Arabidopsis thaliana: one gene and its partners. The protein of the gene in region 1 interacts with the protein of each later gene in a pairwise test. Each region holds a gene or a part of one and is shown in the gene's direction. Other genes may lie near its edges.

Region 1 (7,347 bases):
TAATCTCATTCTACATTGTAAAAGCTCTACTATCATCAATACAAAAGTTTATTCGTTTTCAGCAATATAAATTTCAAAGTTCTTGTGAAGATCTAGCCCTCCTTTCTCATAAATCTATTTACAAATCTCTAGTATGGATTTCAGAACCCACAAAGGTCAATCTCAAAATATTGGTCTTTATATGTCTTTACCATTCGTGATGATATTTGGCAAGATTTAGCTATGGATTTTGTGTTGGGATTGCCACGTACACAACGGGGTGTGGATTCTGTGTTTGTCGTAGTTGATAGATTTTCCAAGATGACACATTTCATTGCATGCAAGAAGACCGCTGATGCATCCAACATAGCCAAACTATTTTTCAAGGAGGTAGTGCGCCTTCACGGGGTTCCTAAGTCAATCACTTCGGATAGGGATACAAAGTTTCTAAGTCATTTCTGGTCTACTCTGTGGAGGATGTTTGGAACAGCTCTTAATCGAAGTTCTACACCTCATACGCAAATCGACGGGCAAACCGAAGTAACTAATAGAACCTTGGGAAATATGGTTCGAAGTATATGCGGGGATAATCCAAAGCAATGGGATTTAGCTTTGCCTCAAATAGAATTTGCTTACAACAGTGTTGTACATGTGGTTGATTTGGTTAAGTTACCAAAGGCTCTTGGGTAAGTGCATCAGCTGAAACTATGGCTGAAGAGATTTTAGTTGTTAAGGAAGTTGTCAAAGCTAAGTTAGAGGCTACCGGGAAAAAGAACAAAGTCGCTGCTGATAAACGTCGGAGATTCAAAGTTTTCAAAGAAGGTGATGATGTGATGGTGCTCCTTCGTAAAGGGAGATTTGCAGTTGGAACGTACAACAAGGTAAAGCCTCGCAAGTATGGCCCGTTTAAGGTGTTGCGGAAGATCAATGATAATGCTTATGTTGTGGCTCTCCCGAAATCAATGAACATTTCCAATACCTTCAACGTAGCTGACATTCATGAGTATCATGCAGACGGGGTCCTTTATCCAGAAGAGAACTTGAGGACAAGTTCTTCAGAGGTGGAGGAGACTGATGTAGGAGAGATTTAGCAGTTTTACATTTCTTTTCATATTTCCTTATTTCAAGTTTTCTATTTTGCTTAGAGTTTTCTATTTTATGATTTGGTTTCTTCTCTATATATAGAAAGACCCTAAGTTTTTTGCTCGACACGTTTTATCATTTTAATTAATAAAAGCAGAGAGTTTTTCTCTAATCTGGTGGATTTCCAAAGTTTCAACCTTTCAAATTCGACGCTTGCGAACTTGATTCATGTTTAGGCATAGTGATTGCTATTCCTAGAGGTTCCGACTCCGTAAGTATTTTAATTCTATATAAATAAATGAAGAAAAAAGTAATCATAATTACCCAAATAAAACAGTTTGTTTATATTCCTTTTTAAAATTTTAAGTAACATCGTTAATGTGCTTAGTGTTCTTTATGTTTTGCTTCCCGTCAATATTAAATAATCTTTACATGGAAATTAATCGGTCTCATATATAAAAGAGAAATTGAAGACGATTAAGATGCTATTAACTTTATTTATGAGTATGTATTATGTGAAACACCTTTTATTTATAACTTCAACATAATCGTTTCTAATCTTTCAAAAAAAACTGCCTAAATATTTTTAAATCGTTACGTCTCAAATATAGTCTTTTTAAATATAGTTAATTTATCAACCTTATATATTTTTGGATAAAAAACATGATTTATATGATCAATTTAGATGTATTTTTAGTATTAGAGGTTTTCCTAAGAAAATAAATCATGTTTTTATGAAGTGTAAGTTTCTGAGGTTTTTTCACAAACCCCCACCATCTGTTAATGCATTGGGTCTAACTTCATTTGATGACCGACTTCAAATGAATTATTTACATAGGCATGAACAAAATTTTAAATTTTGATAATTAAAATAATCTTTAACAAAGAAAAAAGATAATTAAAATAATCACAGTTTTTTTTCTTTTGAGAAATATAAAATAATTTAGAAAAATTCAAAAGAAAACAAAAATAAAAGAGGGAGAAAGAGATGTGGCATGAGTGATGGGTGTGTATGGGAGTGAGTGAGAGCTGTGAAAGGGAAGAGTCGCAGAGAGTGCAGAAGTTTTCAGAGTTTGCAGACTCACTCATTATTTTCCCTCTCTCTCTCTCAAACTTTTTTACTTCTATTCTCATAAATATTTTTTATTCAAAACAATTTATTATTCATGCATAGTGTTTTTAACACAAGTGGACCGTGTACACTTAATTTTATAAATGTCGAATGTGTTGGAGCTACGAGTACTACGAGTCGTCTATCTAACCAAAGATGTCACATTACACGATACGGTTTATTTGATTGAAGAACAAAAATAATGATTTGGTATAATTCAAAATTTATAAACTCATTACAATTGGACTTCTTTCATTTTATTTTCTAATACTATAATGAATGATTAAGAGAATGTTCTTTGTGGTTAGCTAAACCTTTATAACGATCTTTGTAATAGTTGCAATATGCTTACATGTTTCTTTTTTTATAGTTAAAACATTAAGAAGAATAGAAGAGGGACATAAATCCTCTCACTTGGCTATTTACTTACTATATTTAGGATCGAATATAAATGCTAAAAACATCTTAAATATTGTAGGGTTAAATTCAAGCTTCTTTCACAAATAAGTATTTTTTTTTTCTTATTTTTTCTTTCTCACATATACTAAAGTTTGAGATATAAGTTATATGACTCAAAAGATATCATAACAACCCAACATTAGAGCTGAAATTTTTAATGTCTTATTATTTTGTACACAACTTTACCTCTTAAGTTTCATGACTTGTTAGATTTTTTTTTTGTCAACCAAAAATAATTAGAACTTAATAGAGTCAATCCCGAAGGATATTGTTTACGTATACGTATGTAACTTGGTAGATTCTCTTTTCGGTTACCAAATTTTCTCGTTTTTCTAAACGCAAACAAAAGTTACAAACTCCTGAATATAATACGTAAATAAATTAAACATAAGTTATCTATGCCCCTTGTCACAAAATTTAGCTTTTAAGAAGGAAAAGAAAAACCTGAAATGGTGCTTAAGATAAAACCAAAACTAAAGCTGAAAAGAAAATTTTAAGAAATAAGAAAAAGGAATAATAAACAAGAAGAGGACATGAAGCACAGAGATTCTGCAGACTGCAGGTGACCAATGGACACTTTATCAATAAAAACATACCTACTACTCTCTTACACTTTCAATTTTCCAATACAAATCCCAATCTTTAATCTCTCTTTCTTCTTCATCTCTCTTTCTCTTTCTCTCTTCATGGCTACAAGGATTCCATTCACAGAATCACAATGGGAAGAACTTGAAAACCAAGCTCTTGTGTTCAAGTACTTAGCTGCAAATATGCCTGTTCCACCTCATCTTCTCTTCCTCATCAAAAGACCCTTTCTCTTCTCTTCTTCTTCTTCTTCATCTTCTTCTTCAAGCTTCTTCTCTCCCACTCTTTCTCCACACTGTAAGCACACTTTATCTTCTTTGCTTTGTGCTCTATGATGGTTATCCTTAGGGTTTGGTGATAATGTAAACGAATTTGACTCTTTTTTTTCAGTTGGGTGGAATGTGTATGAGATGGGAATGGGAAGAAAGATAGATGCAGAGCCAGGAAGATGTAGAAGAACTGATGGCAAGAAATGGAGATGCTCTAAAGAAGCTTACCCTGACTCTAAGTACTGTGAGAGACATATGCATAGAGGCAAGAACCGTTCTTCCTCAAGAAAGCCTCCTCCTACTCAATTCACTCCAAATCTCTTTCTCGACTCTTCTTCCAGGTTTCAAACACACCTTCCTCCTCTGTTTTACTCTAATGACAACACAATGATTGACTATTTTTTATCTTCAAAACATGTTTGAAAGTAGAAGAAGAAGAAGTGGATACATGGATGATTTCTTCTCCATAGAACCTTCCGGGTCAATCAAAAGCTGCTCTGGCTCAGCAATGGAAGATAATGATGATGGCTCATGTAGAGGCATCAACAACGAGGAGAAGCAGCCGGATCGACATTGCTTCATCCTTGGTACTGACTTGAGGACACGTGAGAGGCCATTGATGTTAGAGGAGAAGCTGAAACAAAGAGATCATGATAATGAAGAAGAGCAAGGAAGCAAGAGGTTTTATAGGTTTCTTGATGAATGGCCTTCTTCTAAATCTTCTGTTTCTACTTCACTCTTCATTTGATCATCTTTTGTTCTTATAACCTTGTATTTCTTGTTAAGATGGTAATGCAAATTCTCTCTTTTTTTGTCTAATTTAATTAGGAGTTTCTTTTTGTGATCCATGCATTATATTAGCATAAAAGATTTAACTTGTGTAAAGTAGTTATATTAGTTTGGTTTCAATGTTTAAATTGTTTCTGCTCATCTCTTGTCAATATTAGTGATAGTACGATGTCACTAAGTCATTGATTAGCAACAAATTTATCAATTCATGTTTCTGTAATTAATTATTTCTGATTCTTTTTGTCAGAAACTTGTTCATTAAACTATTTACTGTGGATAGTAAATAGTTTTTTTTTATAATTAAAACAGTAAATAATTTTTCTTAAAGGTTATGTTATAGAAAAAAATGATGAAGAAAATAAGAAAAGAGTAAAAAAAAGACAGGTTTTGCAATTGAGTTGAGTTGAGTTCTGCTCCCTGACTGAGTTTGGTCAGGTCTGAAAAAGCCACACACCCAATCAAAAGCTTTCTGCTCTGACTCAGTGAGAGAGAAAGACGACTTCTCTTATTCTCATCAAACTGAATTATTATTTCTTCACTCACACACATGAGTACATGACATAAAGCAAATTATACTTGTGTGTGCGTGTAATTTTGTTGCTTATAAACTATAATTGCAGTCAATATGTTCTGAAAAGTTGAAAGAGATCCTACAGAGAGAGAGAGAGAGAGAGAGAGCAACATGAAACCTAAAAACCCAAAAGAAAAATTAAAGTAAAAGGGAACAGAAGAAACTGCAGAAACAGTACCAAATCCTTCAAGACCACACACACACACACCCACGTTTCTGACTCTTCCACTTCCTTCTGACAACACTCTTCTGTATTTTTTATTTCTTTATTTATTTTTAGTTTACTATTTTGCTTTCATTAACCATTGACTACGTATCAAGTTGTTTCAACCGGTGTTTTTACGGCCGACTCGTACCGTCCAGTTAGACGGTTAATCCGCGATCTAGACACTTTTCTGTTTAAATTTAGTGCTAATATCCGACAATTTCAAACTCGAAAATACTCGCCTTAACCTGTGACTCTGTCAACCGGTTGAACCGGCCGAGTGTAAGTTTTAAAAACATTATTTGAGTTTGGAATTAAATATAGCATTTTAGACTATTTGAGTTTGAAAAAAAAATGTTTGAGTTTGAAAAAAAATATTTGAGCTTTATTCAATTATTTTTGGAATTTATTTTCACTTTTTTATCTCATTTGATATTTTAGATTTTGGTGAAGACTTCATAATTCTGCTTTAAGAAAATCAATGAATTGGTGAGAAAGACAACCGAGATTAGTTGTTTGAATTCGAGATATATGTTTTATTAGTTTATTTTCGTCATTGATGATCTCCTAATATATTTGTTACGGGTTTAGACTGCTAGTTGGATTGAAAAATTTAGTCACTTTCTATTATTGTTTGATTTCATATTTTGTTAAACATGATATGATTATTTTTGTTTTATATTTATGAAAATTAAGTAATTTCTATTGACATTAAGTATATTAAGTAAATTTTAATCAATTGACCCGTAGTCCAACCCGGTTGACCCCATGACCTGGTGATCCAGAAGGTAATCCGATTTACTGTCCGGGTCGGGTTTAAAAACATTGAAAAAGAAAAAAGCTTTTCTATTAGTAACAATAGCAAATAAAAACAAGGCTCAATCCAAATAACCCAAAATACAAACTGATCATCCTTGGCCTGTGAATGTAAATTGTCTTCACACTCTGACTACTAGAGAAATTGAATCAATGAAATCTTTGTCACTAAAGTTACAAACACACAAGAGATATCTGTTGTTATGTATGAAATATCTCTCAATTGGCCTCTTCCTCTTCCTCTTCTTCCTCCATGTTAGGATCACCAGCTTCCCCATTGCTCTCTTCTTTTTCTTTCTGGGGGCTTGAATTTGGATGACTCTCCTCCATTAATTCACCTTCTTCGTCTGATGACGATAACGCCCTTCTTCGCCTTACACCCGAAGTAGGTACCTGTACTCACCAAAACAGACTTAGTGTGACATTGTGTTTTGCATTTGTGTAGTTCCATGAATTGGATTGAAGTTTATGTATTACCTCATCATCATCAACATCAGGATCTTCGAGCCCAGCAGCAGCGAGAAGATCATGAGCATCATCATCCACAGGTTCCTCAGCTTCTTGAGTAGTCATCTCATCTTCCCTGTTATAATTAGTGTTGGCGTCTTCATCTTCCACTTCATTATGATCATCCATAGTGGCAGCTTCTTCTTCATCGTCCTCGTAGTGTCGAGCCCTTGAGCTTTTGTCCTTCTTTCTTCTCTTTCCACCCTTCTTTCTTCTCCGCTCACTGGGCTTACTTTCCCCATCATCATCTTCCACTCTATCCTTCCGCTTATTAGATCCAGGTGTGGAGCTCTTCCATTGTTCCTAGGGCATTAATTATTACAAAACAAAATCAGCATGTCATCCTAAACATCTTCTCAAGACACCATACTGACAAAGGGATACACCCTAAAAAGTGTTACCAAAGAGTAATTTTTCCCTTGACACTACACAACAATGTTGAGAAATCTGATCTTCATAGACACTGTAATCAAAAGCAAGAGACCTCCTACCTTTATACGCTGAAATTTTTCTTCTTCTTGCTTTAGGCGTCTCAGCTCTTCCTCCTGTTTTCTTTTCTCCAACTGCCCAAGAGAAAAATGCATATCACTGACTTGAAAAGCTTCCATATATATCACCAAAATAAATTTGTTGCTGCAAATGGTTAACTTGCAAGTCAATAGTTACCTGATATTTCCTCTGTTCTTCAGCTTTACGGCGTGCTTCTTCTGCCAAAGCAGCCTGACGAGCAACTTCTAATCTCTGTCGGTTCTGCAGCTCCTCCTGCTCAGCAGCTTCACGGTGAACTTTTGCTGCTTCCAGCAAGTGCGAGCAATACTGAACATGGGTTTGTATTTTCTTGCTATCAAACCCATGAACATGGAGGTCTGAAGCAGCAGACAATTGAGTGAATACACGAACAGCATTCTCTGCTTCTGCAACTGTTGAGCGCACCTGCAGAGTCATCAAGTAATTGTCAGGTGGAAATCAATTA
Region 2 (7,880 bases), on another chromosome or scaffold:
GATTAAAATTTAAAACCTATATAAACCAAACTATTATTTGGTTTGATTTTGTATTTACTTTCGGTTTAGCTTGGTTTGTAGATAGTTCGAGTAGACCGAACATCCGAGTCCTACATATATAAGAAAGATTGGCCCATTAACCAAATTTAGGCTTGATTGTGAATTAACATTAGGGCCCAACTAAAATACTTTTTTTTTTTTTTGCCATCCAATAACATTATTATCGCATATGTTCCGCATCATCGTTTACACAAATGATCAAATTGACCAAGTTAAGTTTCTTTTCTCTTTTTCTACATAATATTTGTTATTTAAAGCATTTGTATAAAATTATATACTGATAAGTGATGGTATATTCAATAATTTGTGTTTGTCTTTTTGTGATACAATTAATTATCCTTTATGGTTCCATTTTTTTTTCGTTGACAACGTTGAACAAAGATGGTCAAGGGGCCTAACTGTTTCTCACACAGTTTCCTTTCAGGGTTTAGTATTTGCCGTTTTAGTAACGAAGTTAGAGATTCATACGTATAATTATAAATAGTAGAGTCGGGTCAGATTGTGTTTCTTATCTAATTGTTATATATATAAAATTTGATAAAGCATATAATGTCTTGAAAGATTCAATCGTGAAATATGTGTACAAATATGTAAAATCTAGTTGCACCGCACGGCACCTTTTTTTCCTTCCTCTCCCACGTTTATTCTCGCCTCGTAACAGAAATTATAACTTGGAGTACTATTATAAAATACCTCAATAATTTTAGTTCTAAAAACATGTATATCTAAATCTAAACCATTGTGTATTTTGGAGTTGTAGGAGTTTTTTTTGTAGTAATTTAGTAATACATAACATAAAATGTGTCTTATGTTTAGATTTGCCTTTCATACATTGACCAACCTAAATCGGAGTCGGACCAGCTGGAAACTGGTCTAAATGTTTAATCGAGTTTTAGGTACCCTATCTAAAACCCAAACACAAACTCAGTTTTGCTCATAAATAATCTCTAAAAACCAAACACATTTCGTTAGAAAAACGACTAAAAACCGAGTTTAATTGAAATATACTTTCTAAACCGACCTACACGAACCGGAACCCGACTGCATATATACTTACTTACTCATACACTCTAACAATATAGAATCTATTATTGTCATCCATCTTTTCTTTCACTTCACCTAACTCCCAGTAAATTAATTAATAAAAAGGCGAATCATAACTTGTTTAGATCCTCTTGCAAATGAACCACGAAAGCAGCATGAACACGAATATGAAGAAGAGGACAAGGAAGGAGAAGAAGAGTACGTCGTCAATGGTGTTCTTGTATTCGATGATTGTGAATATATGTGGAGGATTGTTTCTAAGTTATTGGCTTTACAAATACCATCCCACAAATTCTAATCTTTGGATGGTTCCTGTTGGACTCATCTTCTTCATCACTCCTGCGTTTCTTTCCCTCTCCATTTTGATCTCCGATCTCTGCGACGACGATGATGATGTCAATCTCGACCTCAACCAAATCAAGATAATTCTATAAAAGTTTTGACTACTTCAAGTGTTGTCGTTTATTTGGTATTAATTATTATTAACCTCCGTACAAATGGAAGACTTGTGGTTTTATTGTTAAGTTTGTAGATTTTTTCACCTTTGTTTCCGAAACATTTGGTACTTGTGCGACAAGTTATCTCCCCATAGTCTTAAAAGATTAACCTATTTTTAAGTTCTTCAAAATTATATCCATAATTCCCATATGATTCTCTTTTTCTCAATCCTCTGTTTTGTTTAAAGAAGGGTACAAAACAAAAGACTAACAGAGTGGGACGGCTACTACAAAAGACACGTTATCTTCTCTTAATATCAACATAAGGGATACAAAGCGAACATCATCTATAAGGACTACTGTTACCAAAAGATCTACACGGAGGAATCCGAAACTGCGATTACAAGGAAGGACTAACATCAAAGTCGTCACACTACTATACTGCCAATTCAAAAGGTCACTAGGATTTGTCTTAATGTTTTTGATATCAAATGCGTCATTTAATACTTCTAAGGATTTTATGGTGAAAGGAATCACATACGCACCATATTTCTCCATTTGTCCTTAAGATCGGAGGAATTACGAGTTGTGTGGAATATACCTTTTCCCATCTCCAAAATCTTCTTCCAAGGCATGTTTTTGTTGATTGTATCAGAAAATTTCTCCACTCCCTCCTATCCAAAATAAACATATACTATAAGTTTAAGCTAAAAGTGTATTTCAAGAAAAAAGTGTGGTGGTTTTACCCTCAACATCTTCTCTTCGTTGACTGTCCATAGTACCCTTTTTGGCTGATCATTAACAACAGCATAAGCTTCTCCGCAAGATTTCTCCATATCAATGAATTGATCTGTTGACTCGTCTAACTGGGAATTTCGAGCCTTAAGGTGCTTGACCAGTTCTTGTAATTGATGAAGGTTCTCATGTAGTTGCATTGGTAGTGAATTATCAGAACCATTCTCTAGTTGACTGTTTTCTCTCGTCATGACTATATCTCCACTCCTCAGCTCACTACATCCATATTGAACAAGGGTCTTCGCAGCTGCAACACCCCTTGTTCTCAAAGCCGTGGATCTAGTAGCTTGCTCCTTAAACCAACAATAGGGACAGTAAAAGGTTGCAGGATCTTCACAATCAAGCTCAACACACTTCCTGTGAACAGCGAGAGGGCATTCATTCCCAGAACAAGGTACTACACCATCGTCTGCAATATCGCATACAATACATGCGTGTTCGTTCAACGGCTCAAAGCTTCTGAAAGTGTCACTTGTCCCAAGGTAGTGGCGCTTCTTAAGAGGCACATTATCATAAGTGAAAATGTTTGGAGCAGAGTTGACGTCCTCATCACCACCATCATCACACTGAACAATACAATGAGCAATGCGCTTTTCTCTCACAAAGCCAATTTCTTCAACAATTTCACCTATCTAAGATAGAGAAGAAGATAAATCCAAGTAAGAGTGTTTACACAAAATTGAACTAAATCGACCAATTTAAGGTTATCTAAGACCAATTAAGACATAATTTGTTCTAATTACACAGTAAAAAATATCAAATTGTTCTCTAACGTATCACAAGCGACATCCGAGTAAAGACTAAAATTCGAGAAAAAATAAATTAAAGGTTTCTTCTAAAAGGGGTGCTTACATAAGGACTCTTGAGGAGAGCGATATCATCTTCATCAAGCGGGAGATCACTCACCATTTTTTTTCAGATTCCGAGTGAAGATTTGAGAAATTCGAAGGGTTTACGTGAGATTTCTTAACGAATAAGAAAAAGAAGCTACTGTATGTTACCGTTTGGTCTCTCTGTAAGTGTGTCTGAGGTTTCGAAATTTCGAATTTAGGCGAAGAAGGAAGAAACTGACTCAATGTAGTACTTTGCAATGTAACTTTCTCGATGGTCCATGGGCCTTAGAACCGTCTTAGGCCCAAATATGTCCTTTTTTCCCATTGGCCCAAATATATCCAAAACTTTCTAATTTGGTTAGAGGTTGCTCGTTGCTGTATTAATTAATGTTTTATGTTTTCGTTTAGAGTTTTGTAAAGACAAATTAGAGAGAGAGAGAGAGAGACAGAGGCATTTTTGGTCATAAAATCCACACAGAGGTGGTTCGACATCCAGGTGAATCCAAGTAATAAATTGCAGGATTCTCTCTCTATAATATATATAGATATAGCTTGCAATCATTTCCTGCGTTTGGATCGGTCTGGGTTTTGTCGAGGGTTTTTTGGGGAAGACGAAATTAGGGTTTAGTTGGGGCAAAGTAAGTAGTAAAGAAGAAGAAGATGCAGCAGCAGCAGTCTCCGCAAATGTTTCCGATGGTTCCGTCGATTCCCCCTGCTAACAACATCACTACCGAACAGATCCAAAAGGTTCCTTCTTTCTCACCCTATATCTCTCCCTCTCTCTTAATTTGTTCAACACTACTTAGGAGGCTCTTAGAGCTTTTTTGTACTGACAAAATCATTGGCTTCTGAGTGCAAGTAATACTCTTTTGACTGTAATTGGTGGCAATTAGGGTTTTCATTTGAATCTTTCTCGTTAATTCCACAACACTTGAGAGTCTGTTGTTGGTGATGATGAGAAGAGACAGTTTCTAGGACTAGGAAATTAGTAGATGCTTGGTGGGTCAGGAAACTTTGAATCCGGTTTTCAAGAATGGACATTGAAGTTAGATGCTTGCTTGATGTTGTTGTTTTGTACTTTCTCTTGGCTTGATGTCTTCCATGGTAAGATGATAGGCTGCATCGTCATTTCCTTGTCATTCTCTTTCCTTTGCTTAAACGCAGTACCTTGATGAGAACAAGAAGCTGATTATGGCCATCATGGAAAACCAGAATCTCGGTAAACTTGCTGAGTGCGCCCAGTAAGTCTCACCTTTTCTATCCATCTTCTTATGTCTCTTAGATAGTAATGGAAGCTTAGAATTACTATTATTAATGGTGAGGTTTATATAGTTATTCTATCTTTTGCTCTGTTATATTTTCAGGTACCAAGCTCTTCTCCAGAAGAACTTGATGTATCTTGCTGCAATTGCTGATGCTCAACCCCCACCACCTACGCCAGGACCTTCACCATCTACAGCTGTCGCTGCCCAGGTTGTTTGTGATGATAAAACTCAATTGCGATCTATCACAGAAATTTAATGTTGTTTGGGGGTTTGCTTACTGTTGGGTATGATTTCTGTTAGATGGCAACACCGCATTCTGGGATGCAACCACCTAGCTACTTCATGCAACACCCACAAGCATCCCCTGCAGGGATTTTCGCTCCAAGGGGTCCTTTACAGTTTGGTAGCCCACTCCAGTTTCAGGATCCGCAACAGCAGCAGCAGATACATCAGCAAGCTATGCAAGGACACATGGGGATTAGACCAATGGGTATGACCAACAACGGGATGCAGCATGCGATGCAACAACCAGAAACCGGTCTTGGAGGAAACGGTAACTCTCTTTACATTATTAAGACAATACTCAATCTCATAAATTGTAACTTGTATCCATTACTTCTTTCTTTGCTAACAGTGGGGCTTAGAGGAGGAAAGCAAGATGGAGCAGATGGACAAGGAAAAGATGATGGCAAGTGAAAAGGATCCAAAGAAGCTTTGTTTTGTTGATATTTAGGACTTGTGAGTCTCGTAAGGGCTTTTTGCAATAGCTTGTTTGAGTTTTTTAACAGAAGATAGACTGTGGAGTAGTTCCGCAAACCGTGTTGTAATGTATTGTTATTTAGTACAAGCTCGGATTTAGAAAACATCGTCATCGTTCATCTTATTCTGAAAATCAAAGCATTGAACTTATTATTTTCTCATTCCGGACGAGTCTTGACGATGAAATTCTGACGGCTAATGGGATTCATAACAACGGGAGGACCAGCGGTTCTTGGCCATGCTTGGAATTTCTCATCCGTTGCTGCCCACCATTCTTTGTTAGAGACAGTTCCTGGAGTAGTCCCTGAAATTTTCACAAGAAGATAACCATTAAGATCGTCCCTAACTTGAAAACACACACAAAACTAGATAAATCTTGAGCAGAACTTGCCTCCAAAGATCTTATTATCAGAGATAACTTTGTCGAAGATGTATGAGATTCCGAAAGAACCGATGAGAGCACCGATTATGTACTTGGCTTTACCTCCTGATGCCATTTTCTTCTAAAGCTGAAAGTGAACCATTATTACAACTTAACACTCAACTCACAAGAGGAGAAGCAACAAAGCTTATGTAAGGATTTAGTATTAAGGCCAAAAAAACACAGATCAAATTCAATTATTGAAGCTTTACTTATCAAGTTATCATATAACCAATGAAGACGGTAATTCAAAAGAAAAATAAAAGGGTTTGTAGAATAATTGATACGTTTACCTTTGCCGATTCAGAGACAGTGAAGCTTAAACAGTGGACTCCAGTTCCAGAAGAATTCAACGGTGGAAGACGGTCGTCCAACTCTATCGTCTTATCTCTTTAAAAACTTTGGATAAATCTCTGTGAAATTACCAAAATGGGCATTGTTTTCTGAAACGTTAATTACTAGTTTTATTAAGAGACAAAACTACAATCATCACAAGGGAAGATATAATAGCAAATCTACTAGTTTGCTGAATTTCATCATACGTCTAGCTCGAGTAATTGTTATAACCAAAACCTGTAATATGCTAATTTGCTAGTTGATATGAATTTATTTATTTATCAGTAAGGAAAGGTCCAAGTGTCCAACATTGTTTTCGGCGTATGACACATACTCTATTATAAGATGATCTCGGCGAATGCCACATATATTAAACACTACACTTTAATTCTTGCAGAATTACGATTCAAAACTCTTTTTTTCTTTATTCTTTCGAATCAGTGCTGCATTTGACATGTTCAAAACATGATTCTACTTATTATTGACTATTGAGGTCGTGTCGTGTTATAACATATGATTTCGTTGGAAAACTGTAAATACACTAAAGATTAGAGATTCGTAGTTTCATTTATTAATAGGTCTAGGGGAGTTAAATAAGTTTTTGTTTTATATGGTTTTTCTAAACTCATAAAACCCGAAATACAGAATGAATTAAGTCAAGGATTAAAGCAAATGATTTTGATTGTAAATGACTACATCACATGTAGCTTTCTAGACACGTAAAGTCAAATAAATACAAATAAATTAGATCACGACGTGAGCAATTTCCTTATCCGACTGTATTTAAACGTCTCAACAAACTGACCCGCCAAAATAATCATAAATAAATTTCCATAATTCGAATTATATAAACTTAATAACAAAAACAATTATCCTTCCTTAATCCTATTTTGTTTTTACTTGATTCTTCATTCTCAGAAATCTTGACCATGAAGGAGGATCGTCGTCTTCCTCACAAACGCGACGCCTTCCAATTCTTGAAAACCAAGGCTGCGTACGTTATCGTCATAGTTCTAACCTACGCCTTTGGTTACTTCTCCGCCTACCACTATCATCAACCGCTGCAGCAGCAGCTGCCACCGTCTACGACAGCCGTGGAAACGACAAAACCTCAAGTTTGTTCAATCGACAACTTCCGAGTTACGACTCCATGCGGCAATCTTGTTCCGCCGGAATTGATTCGCCAGACTGTTATTGACCGGATCTTTAACGGAACTTCTCCGTACATCGATTTCCCACCACCGCACGCCAAGAAGTTTCTCCGGCCAAAAAGAATCAAAGGTTGGGGATCATACGGGGCCGTTTTCGAGAATCTAATCCGCCGAGTCAAACCTAAGACGATCGTCGAAGTCGGGAGTTTTCTCGGCGCGTCGGCGATACACATGGCGAATCTCACGCGCCGACTTGGGCTCGAGGAGACTCAGATTCTATGCGTCGACGACTTCCGTGGCTGGCCCGGTTTTCGAGACCGGTTTAAGGACATGGCTTTGGTTAACGGTGACGTTCTGCTTATGTACCAGTTTATGCAAAACGTGGTTATCTCGGATTTTTCCGGTTCGATATTGCCGGTTCCTTTCTCGACCGGTTCGGCTTTGGAGAAGCTGTGTGAGTGGGGAGTGACGGCGGACCTGGTGGAGATAGACGCGGGTCACGATTTTAATTCGGCATGGGCGGATATAAACCGGGCGGTTCGGATACTCCGACCCGGCGGTGTTATATTTGGTCACGATTATTTCACGGCGGCGGATAATAGAGGAGTGAGGAGAGCCGTGAATCTGTTCGCAGAGATTAACCGGTTAAAGGTCAAAACCGATGGTCAACATTGGGTTATTGATTCGGTCAAAGTAACCTGATTCCCTTTTTCCCATAAGGAATGAAAAAATTCGATGTATAAATAATAAGAAAATGTGTAATATTGCATAGTCAATTC
Region 3 (8,686 bases), on another chromosome or scaffold:
AAACACGGAAAAATATCATGTGGTAATTTGTATGATTGGTAAACAACTTTTTAAAGCCTCCAAAACATAACGGATCTACCATTGGAGAGGAATGGACCCCACGAATCCGAGAGAGGACGTGGATTCTCACAAATAGGAGTGGTCGAGACCCTACAACCGAATCAAAAAACGTGGATCCAAATGCAGTTTTTCAAAACCATAGATATGATCCTATTGGAGATGCATACATGTTAGGTATTCAAAACGAGATTGCAAATTGTTTTGGATATCTCGAAGTTATATGGTTTGATCGAGCATGTTTTTCTCGGTTTTTATAAATAGTTGGATGAAAAAAAAAAACTAGAAGAAGAGAAACATGAAGAGCAAAAGAAAAGAAATAAGGAGAAGCAAACATTATTGTGTTCTTTTTTTTTTGTAAAAAAAAATTATATTATAGTTTGTTAAAATTGGTGAGTAGATGTTGATTTATAAATATAGTTGATATATGTTTTATTTTAAAAAATATTTCTATAAGCATATATTATAAATTATATTAATTAAAAGAAACTAAAAATAATATAAGTAGAGGCTAATTTGGTAAAAAAAAAAAAATCTAATCACACTCAAATCACATCTAAATCGTTTTGCCATTTAAAAAATATGATGTAATCGCATCGCACCCAAATCGTATCTTCATTCACAATATTAACTGATCGTATCGCTCCAAATTCGCATTATTTCCACACTTAAATCACAATTGCACCTGAAACGAAATGACATTTTCGGTACCTAAAACAGGCACCCTAAGCTTCAAAAGCTTTTTGGGTATCCAAAAATGAGAAGAACAGTTGCAGGACTACACCAAATAGTCATTAGTCACAAAGTTTGTTAACTGAAATAATATTTTCTTTTATATGTTATAGTTAAAAATTTCATTACACTGTTGGTAGGTGGAATACCAAAAAAGAAAATAATAATATTTTGAGATAACAGTATTCAATATAGAGCATGTTTGCATATATTTCTTGTCAGACGTAGAATCTAACATTTGGTAAAGAGACTGCATCTACATACTAAAATACATTTAGATATATGAAAAGAGAGAGGAAAAATAGGTGGATTATTCTTGTTTTTTTTATATTAGAAACTGAAACCCAATAGCAATGTCACTTGCCATTAAGCATTTCACATTAGTTATATAAACCGACAATTAACAAAACTTGCCAAATTTTAGGCAAGAAAAGACATAAAATATACGTGGACATCACATGTTTGACACATCGGAGTTTTGTTGTTATGGTCGTTTCGTTTGCATGTAAAATGTGTCTTTCTCATTTAATTTTCGTGCTCTGCTCACTTTAAACTATAAGTCTATAATATAATGATTCTGTTTACTTTATTCTACTTTATATAGCAGAAGAAAATCTATTTTGGTCAAGTAAAATGTATACGATACAACACATTTTTGGTATAACCACGTTAATTATTTCCAACTATGTATTTTTTTCCTCGCGAGTAAAGTGAAAAAAGAAATCAGTTTCAGTTTTCTTTTTTTTTGTTTCTTACACTTTTTCTGAAAACAAAATACAAAACAAATCAGTATTATTAAAAGATAGCATAGGATGAAAAAGAAATTAAGCGCGTGGGGGTAATTAGAATCTCAATGTGATGTCATAACTGACAAGAAGTATTATTTGGACAGAAGCGGTCTTTAAAAGATCGACGCACATATTCTTGTTCAACGTGATTCCACTTTATACGTATAACATTTCATTTATTGTTACTAAGAAATTTTAGTACGTAATTTCATGTATCCCAGAACCACAAAATATCTCAGCTCAAAAACTGCAAGTTTCATTATTTATAAGTTCTCCAATATCTTGGTGAATATTCATATTAATCGGTCAAAGATAGTACAATAATAAGTTACAAGTTGCTGCAACACTTTTCTCTATGTAAGAGGATTCAACATCAACCTCACATTAACTATAAAATTTATGGCTGTTATATAGAAAATAAGGTAGTATAAAATTAATGTCGTAAAAATTTAATATTTCTTTTAGGTATTAACCAAAATGAATTGATCATTTGTAAGCGTTTCAGAATCCTACCTTTAACTTCATAATCTCAATTTACAGTATGCAAACAACTATATTGGTCTGATAAAAAAGAAGAAATGGTATTTTTAGTTTTGTTCCTAGTGTTTTTGGTTTGCTTTTAGATGGCATAGAAACACTATTGGTTTGGTTATTGTCTATAAGACATAATTAATCGGGAAAAGAAAACAATTCATTTATCCTTACAGATTACTTTAATGTTCATACATAATACTATAGTTAAACAAACAAACATTAAAAGTTGAGCCTCCGTGGTTCATATATGCAGAAGGAATATCTCGGATCCATTTTTGGTACCAACGAATAAAGTGTTAATTAATATTTAACCACATCTACAAGAGGGTTTAACGTGGAATTAAGTATAACCACGCAAAGATAATATAGCTGTTGAATCTTTTTCTTTTTAAATTACCGACCATCGAAACGTACTTCAAGAATTCGAACAAAAAGTTAATGAGACTTATCAAATAACTCCAAACTAATTATTATTATTTTCTTTACAAAAGCATTTCAAAAACTTTAGAGACCCTTTGGTTGAGAATCATCAATATTAAACATTCAAACCAAGTTAGGGCAGTGTTTTGATGGTCGATAACTCGTCTTATTGGTCGAGACAAGTGATCGAGTTAGTATTAACATATGTAAAAAAAAAGAAACATGTATTGATCATTGTTGAGGATAAATTTCATCTATTAAGATATCAGTCAATTATAATGTGTTACGTGATTCGATAAAAAAAAAAGACCAAAAAAAAAAAGAAGATAACTATTGGTAAGCGTAAGAAATGTGTTTACATTTTGGCATTTTGCCAAAACACATAAAGATGGTTAGTGATGAGACGAGACGAGTCATGCGCTACTTTTAAAACAAAATGAAAAACATCATTAAGCTAACAAACCAAACACACTTGTTTTGATAACATGTTCTAGGGAACTAGTTATGCCAAATCTAATCCGCATAAGAAGACTAAGTCACAACATAATTCAGTAATTTGGTTGAGATTAAATCCTATAAATATGATTTTAAGGTATAAGAGAGAAGAGACTCTTTTGATCAACACAATCAAACATCTACAAAGAAAATTATCTCACATAGCTACTTCTTAATCTAATTTTTTCATTAATCCATTTTATTTTAAATGTGAAGAATCGCATCTAGATGTGACCTCTCATGATAAAAAATTAAACCATTGTAAAAAAAATGTTGTGTAAAACTAAATATAATAAATTATTAAAAAAATACAAATTCAATCCACTAGGTTAAAAACTCCTATGTAGAACATTTTTTTATATTAAAATGTAAATACATGAATCTTATTTTTCGAAAAACTAAAGACATCTTTTTTTTATATATTAATTACCAAAACAAAATAAGACGACAAAAATATTCTTTGATATAGTAAAAGAAAACTAGAAAACTAGAAAACAATAAATTACCAAAACAATCTAGAAAACAATAAATCCTACTTTGCATTACTTTATTATAAAATCCCGAAATGAATCTATAAATGTAGAAAATATTATACAAAAGTTGTAAGAGATTTTAATATACATAATTACATATATATACAAGTAAATACACCGTATATACATACGAAGGAGTAAACAGTATTATTTGGTATATAGTTACGTCTCTATATACGAAGGGTTCAAACTTCAAAGTAATAATTTAATCAACAATGTGTACATATTGATAAGTAGTAGTATATATGTAAAGGTCTCACGTCTCTATAATAAAGTATGACTCGTCACGTGACCTCCTCTTCTTCGCAGAGACAGAGATAGGATGAGACAGAAAGAAACCAACAAAACCAAACCCCAAAACCCAAGAAAAAGAGAAAAACACTCTCTTCTCTTCTCTCTCTCTCTTTCTATTTAAGAGACTTCACTGTCTCTCTCAGTCTTTTAACGCAAAACAACTTTTGTGGAGGAGAGAAAGCGAGATAACACACACACAGAGATACACATCTTCAATAGTTAAGAGTTTTCTATATACAGAAGCATAGAGGAAAGAGAGAGAGACAGATACAAAAGTTAATATCTCTCTCTCTCACTTGGTGAGACTTCTCTTTTTCCTCTGGGTTTTGTGGTGGGGGTTGTCTCTATAAAAACTTATATATATAAAATATATAAATAAATAAGAAGGAATTATCAGGTTTTATATAAAATAGCAAAAGAAATGCAACAGCACCTGATGCAGATGCAGCCCATGATGGCTGGTTACTACCCCAGCAATGTTACCTCTGATCATATCCAACAGGTTCTCTTCTCCTTCTCCTCCTTCTCCTTCTTCTTCTATTATATTATCTCTTTCTTTTTTCTTTATTATATGTTTCTTTGAATTCATAAAGGAAAGTGAAGAAATCTCTCTTGCAAGTACCTTATAACTTTTTCTTTATATTATATAAAAAAGTATGTGAAACCCTTTTCTTCTGTTCTCATAACATAGATGATTTTTTTTCATTGGTTCTTTTTTGTTTGGTAAAAGAGTTCTTGTTATTCTTGTTTCCATGTCTTTTTTTTTCATAGAGAAATTAGTTTTAATACATGTGTGTTTATGTTTGATAAATTTGGTTGGTAGAGATGCTTTGGTCACTAAGATGATTCTTTCAACTTTTTTTCTTTTCCTTATAGATTTGGTGTATTATCAGTTAACTTTGATGCTAATTAAATGTCTAAAACCAGACAAAGTTAAGAAAGATTCTTTCTTTCAATGAAAATGAATGTTTAGGGTCCAGTTGTGTTTTGAGTTCTTGAAACATGTAATGAAAAATAACGTGTTCAAAACAGACAAATCTTGGGAACTGAAGATTTGTTTCACATATCTCGTTTTTTCTTCTTGTCTTGGTTTTCGGGTTCTGGAAGTTTCATTGATGGCAAAAACCACAAAGCCATTTATGTGAATATTGTGGGTGGTCCTGTTTAGATTTGTTATCATTATAAGTAGATCTATGTGTATTTTCCAGTCCAAGTGTTTCTTTTATTGCTTACATGACCAGATATACTTTGTGGTCCGAAACAACATCTGGTCCTTATCTCAGTTTTTTTTTTGTGTGGTCCTCAAAATCTTTTCGAAGAAAATCTTTCGTTACACTTTTGTGATATTTCAACATTATTGTCTTTTGAGATAAGTCGGAATTTAAGTTACTGGGGTCTCCTTTTGAGATTTTCTATGTCTTTATTACAACAAAAACAAAATAGTATGCAAATTTTTTGTTTGTAGCATTAGTAATGATTAATGAAAATGTTTGATTGTAGTACTTGGACGAAAACAAATCGTTGATTCTGAAGATTGTTGAGTCTCAAAACTCTGGAAAGCTTAGCGAATGCGCCGAGTAAGAGACAACATATCTCCTTTATGATTTCACTTGTGTTCTGTTGAGTAACAAGAAATGATGATTAAAATGGTTATAGGAATCAAGCAAGGCTTCAACGCAACCTAATGTACCTAGCTGCAATAGCAGATTCTCAGCCTCAGCCACCAAGTGTGCATAGCCAGGTGATTGTTTATACAGTGAAGTATTCCAAATTTTGTTGTATGATCAATTGAGAAAGTGATTTGTTTTGTTTGGTTATTAGTATGGATCTGCTGGTGGTGGGATGATTCAGGGAGAAGGAGGGTCACACTATTTGCAGCAGCAACAAGCGACTCAACAGCAACAGATGACTCAGCAGTCTCTAATGGCGGCTCGATCTTCAATGTTGTATGCTCAGCAACAGCAGCAGCAGCAGCCTTACGCGACGCTTCAGCATCAGCAATTGCACCATAGCCAGCTTGGAATGAGCTCGAGCAGCGGAGGAGGAGGAAGCAGTGGTCTCCATATCCTTCAGGGAGAGGCTGGTGGGTTTCATGATTTTGGCCGTGGGAAGCCGGAAATGGGAAGTGGTGGTGGCGGTGAAGGCAGAGGAGGAAGTTCAGGGGATGGTGGAGAAACCCTTTACTTGAAATCATCAGATGATGGGAATTGAAAGAGTGTGGCACAAGGAATCTTAATGATGAAGCAGCAGCAGCAGCAGAAGAAGTAGTAGTAATAATAGGAGTCTTGAAGTTAGTGTGTTTTGGTTTTAGTTGCTTGTTGAAGAAGCAAAGAACTCTTTATTTACTTCTTTTTAGTTTTGTTATTCTCTCTATGTTTGTTCCCTAAAACAGTGAACCTCTTTCGTGGTAGTGTACCATGTAAATCTGCTGGCTCCAAGTTGTGTCGTAATCTTAATATGTTATTTCTCTGAGTTAGACTCTTTTGCTTTAACCAGGACTGAAGTTTTGTAGATCATTGATGTTACCTATTTGGATTCTAAATCGTTATGTAGGCTATATTATTGTTTTTTTTTTCTGGCTGTTATACATAATTTTATTTTATAGTTGATAAAGTCCAACCGGTTCAGTCCAAGACTCATATGACCAGCCTTAGTGGTCCTCGCAAGGTCCCATACTGCTGAAGACCGGACCATAGCCACCCGAAGCTGCACTCAAACCAAAGACCATATTCGGGTCCATTTAAGATAAAGTCTCGTGAAGAAAAGAGGGTTTCAAAAATGTGTCTTTTGGTCCCTTTGCTTCGTCCTAGATTCTTCAAGTAGTATTGAGTGTGGATTTCCCTTAGTTGAGAGTTCCATCGACGATTGTTTTTCTAGTGTCTGGATTCCCCTAGGAGGCCAAGCCCAGCCCCTGCTTTTTACAACTCAATCACAAGCCAAGAGAAGTCTTCAGTTATTCTATTACTTCCTTCCCTTTGGCAAAACTATAAGCCTTGAAACAATATGTCACAAACACTAGTTAAATGTTTAGACCGCACCACCATAGGCCCCAAGTATGTATTTGACATGTTGGCTTCATGCCTGCTCTACTAGACTTCATTTTTGTCTAACTGGTAGTGCGCTATTTCGAAAACTAGATAGATTTGTCATATCTTCTTCTCATGACCAACACATTATTCTTCTTCTTTTGTTCACATTGACATGGTATTATAAAGGGTAATTTGCGGACCACACCCTTTGACCATGTTTTATTTTCAGAGATTGACAAAGTGAAAAGTGGTTTTCACGTTTTGTCTTTTCAGCTGAAATTTGACCCTTTTGCCCTTGCTGCTAGAGCTAAGAAACTGTTGAATGTACAGTTTAGTTAGTCAGGTTTAGTTAGGTACACTGTTCCGGTTTAGTTGAAGATATTTTTGTTTCACGTTGAGGAGTGCAGCTGTACAATTAGAAGGGAGGTTTTTTTTATTAAAAACGAAGTGACATAAACATTTAATGGCCCAAAAAGTTTAGACGTGACTGTTGTTATAATTAATGCAAAATCATTATTACATGTTATAATATTATAAAATTATTGATAATAATTGTTGAGTTAAAAATGAACCCAGGAAAAAACATTAATTGCGAACGTACATTGATGCTCAAGAAGTGTTTATCTTGTTTATTTACGAAGTTTGGAGCCAAGATAATCATTATCGTGTAAGTAATGAAGTTTTAAAGAATTTTTTTGTTATAACACACTATGATCTTCATTGTGTTCGAAATCAACTTTGTTTTTTATAGAAAAACCCAGAAATTTTTTATTTCCAATTTTGTTGGTTGAAAATGCTAAATGTGTAAATATTTATGTTTATAAGTGTGTATATCGAAATTCTATTTGTTTTTGTAGATATAATCATGTTTTTAGTTGCATTTAATGGGTTTCTCTTGATTTTATGATGCAGTTGGGTAATGGATATTCCCGTATTTACTATGGTCGGTGAGTGGAGATGCAAAGAAGAAGAATGGAAATTTAAACCAAAGGAAGACATGTTTGGTCGCTGTGTGCGTATTAAGGAAAACATTACATACACGGAATTTGTACGTACACTAAGCGAGGCTTTCAGTTTTAAGTCCACAGAGATCAATCCCATAATTAGTTACTAGATGTCGGGAGAGATGTTAGTCATGATAGATACTCAACGCCCTCTTGTCTTCATTGATAGTCAAGTGGGATTGGATACGTTCTTTTTGATTCGTGGTCGGTATCCTTCTCTCAACTTGTTTGTCTCTTTCATTACAACCGTCAAGACACTCGGGAATAATGTCTCTAGGACTCATGGTGACGATGCTGAAAGTGACCGTGTGTGTGATAGTGCTTCAAATGTTAATGAAAATAATGAGGCCATAGATGAGGAAGACGACGTTGAAGACGATAAAACAGATGAGGATGAAGAGGAGGGGGACAATGAAGACGGTGATGGGTATGATGATTATCAGGGTAACGATGGATCTATGGGGGGGGGGGGGAAGTACCCTCGATCCTACTATTGATGGTAGTTAAAGTAGTGGCGAAAATTATGATTACAACAAGTGGAACGATGTAGTTGTAGAAGAATATGGAATAGGGAATGTTGAGGAGAACGTCATTCTCACACAATTGACTGTTCAACATCCATGGAAATTCAGTCGTCTATTGGCAGAATGTACGTACACAAGTCAGCGTGTACCTGACGGAGATAATATTTCTCACTCGGGTGACCGTACACCAGCTGTAACTCCAAGAAGTATGTGTCAACATGGTTTGTACCAATGTACATATACTATAGATTGGGAAGTGTTTTTAACAACAGAAAA
Region 4 (8,057 bases), on another chromosome or scaffold:
AATCTTTGTGTTTCATGATATACTCTTTGTTGGTTCTGTATTTACGACTGAATTTTAATTCCTTTTCTATTAGGTGAGACTGATGAAAGATAGGGACTCTGGTGATAGCAAAGGCTATGCTTTTGTAGCTTTCAAAACCAAAGACGTTGCACAAAAGGCCATTGAGGAGTTGCACAGTAAAGAGTTTAAGGCAAGCTCAACTGCTAACTGTAGCTTAAGTTTATCGGTCATTGCTAGTTTGCATTTTACTTATAACAATTTTGTTTAACCTATACCTAATTTTTGTACAGGGAAAAACCATAAGGTGCTCTCTTTCCGAAACGAAGAATAGGTTGTTCATTGGTAACATACCAAAGAACTGGACTGAGGATGAGTTTAGAAAAGTCATAGAGGATGTTGGTCCTGGAGTGGAGAACATCGAGCTCATAAAAGTTAGATGACTTAATCAATCTGATTGCCATGCTTGATCTTACTTAATTGCCTTACTAATTATCTTCTTGTTACTTGTAGGACCCAACAAATACCACTCGTAACCGTGGTTTTGCATTTGTTTTGTACTATAACAATGCATGTGCTGATTATTCAAGACAGAAAATGATAGATTCTAATTTTAAGCTTGAGGGTAACGCTCCAACTGTGACTTGGGCAGACCCAAAAAGCTCTCCTGAGCATTCTGCTGCTGCTGCTCAGGTATTATTTAAATAGAGGGTTTAGTCAATCTGCACAAAAACCTCTCTCCTGGCAAAGTTGGCACTTTTTTGACAATCTCTTTTGCGTTATATACTCAGGTGAAAGCCCTTTATGTCAAGAATATTCCAGAGAATACCTCAACAGAGCAGCTAAAGGAACTCTTTCAGAGGCATGGAGAAGTGACCAAAATCGTTACACCTCCTGGAAAGGGTGGAAAACGTGATTTTGGGTTTGTCCACTATGCTGAAAGATCTAGTGCATTGAAGGCTGTCAAAGATACCGAGAGATATGAAGTCAATGGTAAGTTTTTTTAGTCATCTAGAAGACAGCTATTGAGTATTATGAACGTTATGCTATCAATTTGTCTCTAATGGCGTATGTTTTTTCGTCTCAAGAGATGTTATTGAGTAACACATTCCACAAACTTGCAAACTACAGGTCAACCACTAGAAGTTGTGCTTGCTAAACCCCAGGCTGAAAGGAAGCATGACCCTTCTTCTTATTCTTACGGGGCTGCACCTACTCCTGCCCCCTTTGTGCATCCCACGTTTGGTGGTTTTGCTGCGGCTCCTTACGGTGCTATGGGTGCCGGTTTGGGTATTGCCGGTAGTTTTAGTCAGGTATATATGTTTCTAAGAAAGAGCTGTTTGTCATCCTTGACTAGTCTTATCAGCCATTGTTTTGTGTAACGTTTGGTTTTAATTTTGCATTGAGCAGCCAATGATCTATGGTAGAGGAGCAATGCCAACAGGGATGCAAATGGTTCCAATGCTTCTTCCCGATGGCCGAGTTGGCTATGTTCTGTAAGTCGATGGTTCTTGTAAACAAATTTGTTGATCCTTCTCTATTGATTCATATTTACTTTCGCTTAATAAATAACCAATATGGATTGCTGTGCAGGCAACAGCCTGGTATGCCGATGGCAGCAGCACCACCACAACGACCAAGAAGAAATGACCGGAATAACGGCTCAAGCGGAGGGTCAGGCAGAGATAACAGTCATGAACATGATGGTAACCGAGGAGGCCGAAGGTACCGACCCTACTAGTAACCATAGAGAAAAATAAGCAAGTAGAAAAAGAAAAGGAGAAGTGTATTGGGATTTGTTTGTAGTTTGTTTTTGGAGAACTTTAAAAAGCTCTCTCTCATGTGTTATAAAATATGAAATCGAAACCTTATGGTTTCTGGTTTGATATGGAGACTGCTGGGGGGATAGGATTGAGTGATTCGATCTTTAAATTATGAGACTTTTTAGTTTTTTCTCTTCTGAATAATACTCTTATCAATTATCCATCAGATTTGGTGTTTTTGCTTTCCCTAGCCCTTGTGCAACGTTGTTTACTTATACAACAAGTTATCACTGGGTCTCATCACATAACATTACAGTCTGAAGATGTCAAACGAACTTAGACTTTCAACAAGAAGCAAAGAAATGAATCAAATCAATTACAATAATACAACAACAATTGGCAATGAGAATTCTTTTTGAGTAGAGAGTTATCTACATTGGAGTGCAGTTGAAGGCTGTTTCGAATATGATTGATTGATTTTGTTTCAACTTTCAATCAAGGGTCGATGTCAGAACAAGTTGGAAATTCAAGGCCTTCAAGGGAAGTTATGTTATCGATATCGTCTTTAGAGTACAATGGGAGGAGCCAAAACGCCTTCTTCTTCCCAAAAACCTTCACAAGATGAAAACAAAGAGTTATATATTTAATTAACTAACAATCCATGGAATGATGAAAACAATAAAATCTCACCTGCTCGAAGTTTTTCTTCTTTCCTAAGTCATATTTCCATCTGACTTCTCCATTTTTCTCATGAACCTAAAAAAATAAGACAATGATTCAGAGAAGAGACTCATATTTTCAAGACTTAGATTGTTTGTGAAAGCAAGAACATAAAAGATTTACCTCAACTGAAGTAGTGTTGGATGAGAGAAGAGAAATATGCATGACTACGAAACAAAGAAGGCTGAGAACGAACGCAAAGTTAAGAACTGCATCAAGGGGATAGAATCTGTAAGAAACATAAAGACGGAAAATGAGACCCAGAAAAAAGCTAAGCACTTTCTGGGAAAAGGAAAACGAGAAAAAGAACCGTTTATACTCACCGAATGCCAGAACGAGAGAGGCCAGTTTACCCGGAGAAGAAGAATGCTTTATAGCTTGGCTGAAGAATTCAATGAAACTAGGAAGCAAGACAATAACATCCAACATTGTCTCAAGAAAAGTATAGAACTACAAATTAAAAAAAGAGGGTGAAGAAATCAGCAAATCAAATAATCCCAATGCTCGCTTAAACCTTTTAAGAACCATAAGAGACTACAATGGAAATGAATATTTACCAGAAAGAGAAGGAAAAACTTGTAATTGCGTGCTCCAACACAGTTTACAATCCAAACACAATGATGATCCATCTTAAGAACACATCTTTGACCTACATAAGGAAACAAAGAACCGAATAAAGCTTTCTTTCTCTATCAGTAGAAACACAAGCAGAACATAGTATAAACAAATCAGATTTCGCCTTACACACAGAACAATGATGGCAACGAGGCGGCTTAACATTCCGGCATTTGGTACAGTAACCTAAAGAGCCAAAAGCTCCTTGATCTGTCGAAGTACCAGCCTCCAAACTGTCACCACCTCCCATTTCTCTTCTGAAATGCTCAGGAACAGAACCTGGGTCTGTAAAAACTGTTGTGAAGTAGCTCCACAACAGCATTATCAGCTGCAAAGAACCAAGCAAATCAGAAGTATAATTGTAAACCTAAACTCAGGGAGCCTAAACATTTACTAACAATCAATGGTCTAAACAATGATTATGTATCTACACTGCTTCATGCTTCATAACTACATTGCATTTCTCATTCTCTTGGCTACATAAGTTTCATGCCACATCCCTAAGTTTAAGGTTTAGGGGTTAAGTAGCAGAAAACCTAGACTTACAATTCCAGAAACAAAACCTAATCTGAAATTATGAGACTTGGAAATTACCAGGAAATGGAAAACAAAGATGATTAAGGCAGCGAGGGCGGATAAAGCTCCATGGTCTCCGCGGATCAAGATCGGCCACCATGTGCTAACTACGACGGCGTAGTAAGATACACCAACGACGGCGACGACAAGAAGGATCATGAAATAGCCGAGGACTTTCAGACCGGAGCAGAACCGGAAAAGGTTCATCTCCAGCCTGGTCAAAGGGAGAATCCGGACAATTCTTCGAGTCCGAGCCGGGAACAACCGCCGTAAAATATCCGGAGCCACGGTGAGGGATCGGAGTTTGCTTGGTTCGGAGGACAACGACGAATCGCCGTCGTGGAGCTGATATTGATACAGATTTAAAGTAACCTTCTTCTTGACACAGAAGCTTTCATAATTCTTTATAAGGCCCATTAACAGGCCCAATAAATAATAACAGCTACAAATGTTGTCTTTTTTTGGTTATCGTAGAGCTGACGAAAAATCAGACAAGGTGCCACGTGTACATTCGGTGGGGGAGACAAATTAATTGGTTGGGGGACTTTTTTGTCCTACGATTTCCCAGAAACCTCGTCGGCGAAATTCAAACAAATCAAAAGTCTTAAATTTAAGGATAATCCAAAATATTCGTTTGTTGAATATTTTTGCATCAGTTTGTTTTGCATTGGGCTCTTAAACCAATTCTATCACTCAGAATTATTGTTTTGTAATAATCGTGAGAAGAAACTTTAGGGTTTCACTGTTTCAGAGTTTTGATTGGTGAATTATAAAAGATGCAGCAATCTCCACAGATGATTCCGATGGTTCTTCCTTCATTTCCGCCCACCAATAATATCACCACCGAACAGATCCAAAAGGTTACTACTTTACTTTCTATATTTTTTGTCTTTCTGTTGTTTAGTCATAATGTCTGTTTATCGTAGCTTTGAAATTGGTTGTGTAATGATGTTTTTGAGTAGTTTAAACTGTTGTAATGAACTTTCCTTCTTGAGTATGATTTGTTTTAAAGTGTCATTGTTTTCCGCTTTAACTTTTTTTTGTTACTGGAATTGGATGTACAATCATGAGTTTGGAGTTTTTTTTTGAGTGAAAACAGAGTATTTGTATGCATATGAGATTTGAAAGCTTAAAATCAGATTGTGAAGATGACATGTTGACACAGTGAGTCACTTATTGCTGCTTCTTGCAGTATCTTGATGAGAACAAGAAGCTGATAATGGCGATCTTGGAAAATCAGAACCTCGGTAAACTTGCAGAATGTGCTCAGTAAGTGTGGGATTCTCGATACCAAGACCGAGCTATGTTAGCTTTACTGATGGTAAATAGAATATTAATAATAAAACATGGTTCTTGCTTGATTCTTTTAGGTATCAAGCTCTTCTCCAGAAGAATTTGATGTATCTCGCTGCAATTGCGGATGCTCAACCTCAGCCACCAGCAGCTACACTAACATCAGGAGCCATGACTCCCCAAGCAGTAAGTTTCTGTTTTGATCAGTTGAAAAACAAAACATTTTGGTTCTTATAGTTTGTGTGTGTTTGGTTTCTGTAGATGGCTCCTAATCCGTCATCAATGCAGCCACCACCAAGCTACTTCATGCAGCAACATCAAGCTGTGGGAATGGCTCAACAAATACCTCCTGGGATTTTCCCTCCTAGAGGTCCATTGCAATTTGGTAGCCCGCATCAGTTTCTGGATCCGCAGCAACAGTTACATCAACAAGCTATGCAAGGGCACATGGGGATTAGACCAATGGGTTTGAATAATAACAACGGACTGCAACATCAAATGCACCACCATGAAACTGCTCTTGCCGCAAACAATGGTAATATTTGGTTTTACAGCAGTTTGGAACTTATTATCACATTACTGATTTTCACCTTCTTTCTCTACCAAAAGCGGGTCCTAACGATGCTAGTGGAGGAGGTAAACCGGATGGGACCAATATGAGCCAGAGTGGAGCTGATGGGCAAGGTGGCTCAGCCGCTAGACATGGCGGTGGTGATGCAAAAACTGAAGGAAAATGAAATAGAGGAAGAATAAGTGATGCTTCTTGTTGATATCAATTAGGTTCTACCTTTCATTTTTACTTTCTTCACGATGATATAAAAAAAAGGTTTTGTCATTTTATGAGTTAGTCTCTGTTAAAAGGGTTCTGAGACAGTTGAGTTTCAGTTCCTAGATGGATGTGGAATGGTTCACATTCACATGTACAATGTTAAATGTTGTTGTATGGTATTAGTGTCACCGGTTCAATTTGGTGTATGAACCGGGTTTAGAATCACGTTTACCTGATAGTTTGCCTCCAGGTTTGTGTGATAATTAATTCCAAGGCTTGAGATGAAAAGTAACAGTTTTAAAAATGTTTACAGAATCAGCGATAACAAAATTCCAAACCAAACAAACCAATAATGTCTTAGAAGTTTTTCTTTTTGGCTCGATTTCATTTATCGTCAAAATCAACAAACCTTACAAAAGTTATGCATCGGGGAAAAGCTTGATCCGAATAATGTGTTACGCATCAACACAAATTATTACTATAACCAGCTAGAGCAATCAGCCGATCCTCAAATCAAACACAAAAGAGCAGATATTCGAAAATGAATCCATAACGAATGAGAACGATGCACGAGAAGGCATCAAAAGTTATTCAGGACGTGACTTGACGATGAAATTCTGGCGACTGATAGGGTTCATGACGACGGGAGGACCAGCAACTCTTGGCCATGCTTGTAATCTCTCTTCAGTCGCAGCACCCCATTCCTTGTTAGTAATAGTTCCTGGTGTAGTACCTGAGAGTTCAAAACAAACCAAACCAAATTTAGCTTTCTGGATACATCATAAGTAGCTTTATAAGGTTTAAAACTTGCCTCCAAAAAGCTTATCATCAGAAATAACTTTGTCACACACGTAAGCTACTACCGCAGATCCCGCAAGGGCACCGATAATGTATGTAGCTCTCGACATCCTTAACCTGAAGTACATAGATATATCAAACATAATCAAGCCACACAAAAGGAGAAAACGAACTTATATCAGATTATAGCTATAGTGTATAGTGGGATTGAAATGAAGTTTCAAGGCATATTCAACCCTAATCAAGCCAATACAATCACATAAAACCATTAGATAATTAAGCTGCTGAATCAAACAATTCAATTCAATTATAGAAGACACAAATCAATAAAAGCATCTGAATGGTGAATTTTTTCACACAATCGATAAAAAAACCGATCTAAGAAACTCACTGCTACCAACAAATCTCGTTTTATTCTTCCTAATCGCGCTAAATAACATATCATCTGCTAGTTTCGAGTTTTGTTTCAGATAACGATTCATAGATCTCGTGAGGACCCAAAAATCGAAACAAAAGGTGAATAAACTACACAGACGACTAACAACAACAACAAATTTATCAAATAGATCTGATAGAATCGGTATTTCACAAAACAAGCATCGATTCGAGAAGAGTGATTTACCTGAATCGATTTCACAGACACGGAGAGGCGCAGGAAATTTTCGAGAAGAATCTCGTTGGTAGATTTTTAGGGAGGAATAGAAGAAATAGCGATTTACGTTTCTCGTCAAACTTGAAATGACCCAAAAGGGGTTTCCGATTGTGGTGTACAAATATTGGGCCATTATGGGCCCATTTCGTTTATGAGATTTTACTCCTAATTGGGCCACACTTGACTATTGGCCCATCTTAATACAAATCATTTCTTTGGGTTAATGAAGATAAAACTTTTTATGAGATTTTATACCAGATTGGGCCATACATGACTATTGGCCAAGCTAAAACAAATCATTTCTTTTGGGGTTAATGAAGATAAATCTTTTTAAACGGATTAAATTTTCTTAAAACAAAGCTTAGAATATATACAGTCAAAAATCTATAAATTAATATTCAATAAATTAATATCTCATTAAATTAATAATTTTCTTCCGTTCTCAAATTGATATTTTAGCCCAAATATTGTCTCTATAAATTAATAAACATGATAATTTATAGAGGTTTTACTGATTAAATTACAATTGCTATTTCAATTTGTAAAAATATTAAGAGTTCCTTTTGAATGACTTTGCTCAAAACGAGGTTTTAGAAAGTGCTAAAGCCTAAAGCTTCAAATGCACATAACACCAATATTTATTCTGCACGCATAAGATTTCTAAAATGATTTCAGTTGTTTTTCTTATTGCGTTTTAAAAACTTACAGTCTATTTATAAAGTGAAACATCTATAAAGAAGAAGAAGACAAACACGTATTTATTGTTAATATTTTTTTTTGTTGTTGAGTACCATATTAACCTAGAAGTTGGAACCGGGCATAATTTTTGCATGTGGCCATTTTTCATGTGATTTACCTATCAGTAAATTTTTGC

Evidence for each region.
Region 2: the proteins of GRF6 (region 1) and GIF2 interact in binary tests that used the Arabidopsis thaliana proteins (3 or more experiments, as listed by UniProt).
Region 3: the proteins of GRF6 (region 1) and AN3 interact in binary tests that used the Arabidopsis thaliana proteins (3 or more experiments, as listed by UniProt).
Region 4: the proteins of GRF6 (region 1) and GIF3 interact in binary tests that used the Arabidopsis thaliana proteins (3 or more experiments, as listed by UniProt).

The regions. Positions count from the first base shown.
Region 1 is NC_003071.7:2,423,022-2,430,368, forward strand, and holds GRF6 (growth-regulating factor 6), read left to right. Parts: upstream 1-3,154; 5' UTR 3,155-3,201; coding exon 3,202-3,514; exon of another isoform or gene 3,515-3,607; coding exon 3,608-3,827; intron 3,828-3,915; coding exon 3,916-4,234; 3' UTR 4,235-4,302; downstream 4,303-7,347.
Region 2 is NC_003070.9:68,754-76,633, forward strand, and holds GIF2 (GRF1-interacting factor 2), read left to right. Parts: upstream 1-3,603; 5' UTR 3,604-3,829; coding exon 3,830-3,916; exon of another isoform or gene 3,917-4,161; coding exon 4,162-4,263; exon of another isoform or gene 4,264-4,333; coding exon 4,334-4,410; intron 4,411-4,533; coding exon 4,534-4,642; intron 4,643-4,734; coding exon 4,735-4,987; intron 4,988-5,068; coding exon 5,069-5,130; 3' UTR 5,131-5,343; downstream 5,344-7,880. Other genes in the region: AT1G01150 (Homeodomain-like protein with RING/FYVE/PHD-type zinc finger domain-containing protein), read right to left, coding at 1,362-1,532, 2,087-2,215, 2,288-2,968, 3,189-3,245; AT1G01170 (ozone-responsive stress-like protein (DUF1138)), read right to left, coding at 5,352-5,497, 5,585-5,690; AT1G01180 (S-adenosyl-L-methionine-dependent methyltransferases superfamily protein), read left to right, coding at 6,880-7,803. UniProt on the Arabidopsis thaliana protein: Transcription coactivator that plays a role in the regulation of cell expansion in leaf and cotyledons tissues.
Region 3 is NC_003076.8:10,645,209-10,653,894, reverse strand, and holds AN3 (SSXT family protein), read left to right. Parts: upstream 1-3,832; 5' UTR 3,833-4,274; coding exon 4,275-4,355; exon of another isoform or gene 4,356-4,507; intron 4,508-4,519; exon of another isoform or gene 4,520-5,353; coding exon 5,354-5,430; intron 5,431-5,509; coding exon 5,510-5,594; intron 5,595-5,674; coding exon 5,675-6,064; 3' UTR 6,065-6,428; downstream 6,429-8,686. UniProt on the Arabidopsis thaliana protein: Transcription coactivator that plays a role in the regulation of cell expansion in leaf and cotyledons tissues.
Region 4 is NC_003075.7:353,228-361,284, forward strand, and holds GIF3 (GRF1-interacting factor 3), read left to right. Parts: upstream 1-4,117; 5' UTR 4,118-4,447; coding exon 4,448-4,531; intron 4,532-4,863; coding exon 4,864-4,940; intron 4,941-5,041; coding exon 5,042-5,150; intron 5,151-5,225; coding exon 5,226-5,499; coding exon of another isoform or gene 5,500-5,573; coding exon 5,574-5,701; 3' UTR 5,702-6,110; downstream 6,111-8,057. Other genes in the region: LIF2 (RNA-binding (RRM/RBD/RNP motifs) family protein), read left to right, coding at 74-190, 291-431, 511-690, 789-990, 1,129-1,310, 1,408-1,493, 1,591-1,738; AT4G00840 (DHHC-type zinc finger family protein), read right to left, coding at 2,256-2,372, 2,451-2,516, 2,604-2,689, 2,804-2,930, 3,038-3,129, 3,225-3,423, 3,690-3,878; ATOZI1 (monopolar spindle protein (DUF1138)), read right to left, coding at 6,321-6,466, 6,545-6,641. UniProt on the Arabidopsis thaliana protein: Transcription coactivator that plays a role in the regulation of cell expansion in leaf and cotyledons tissues.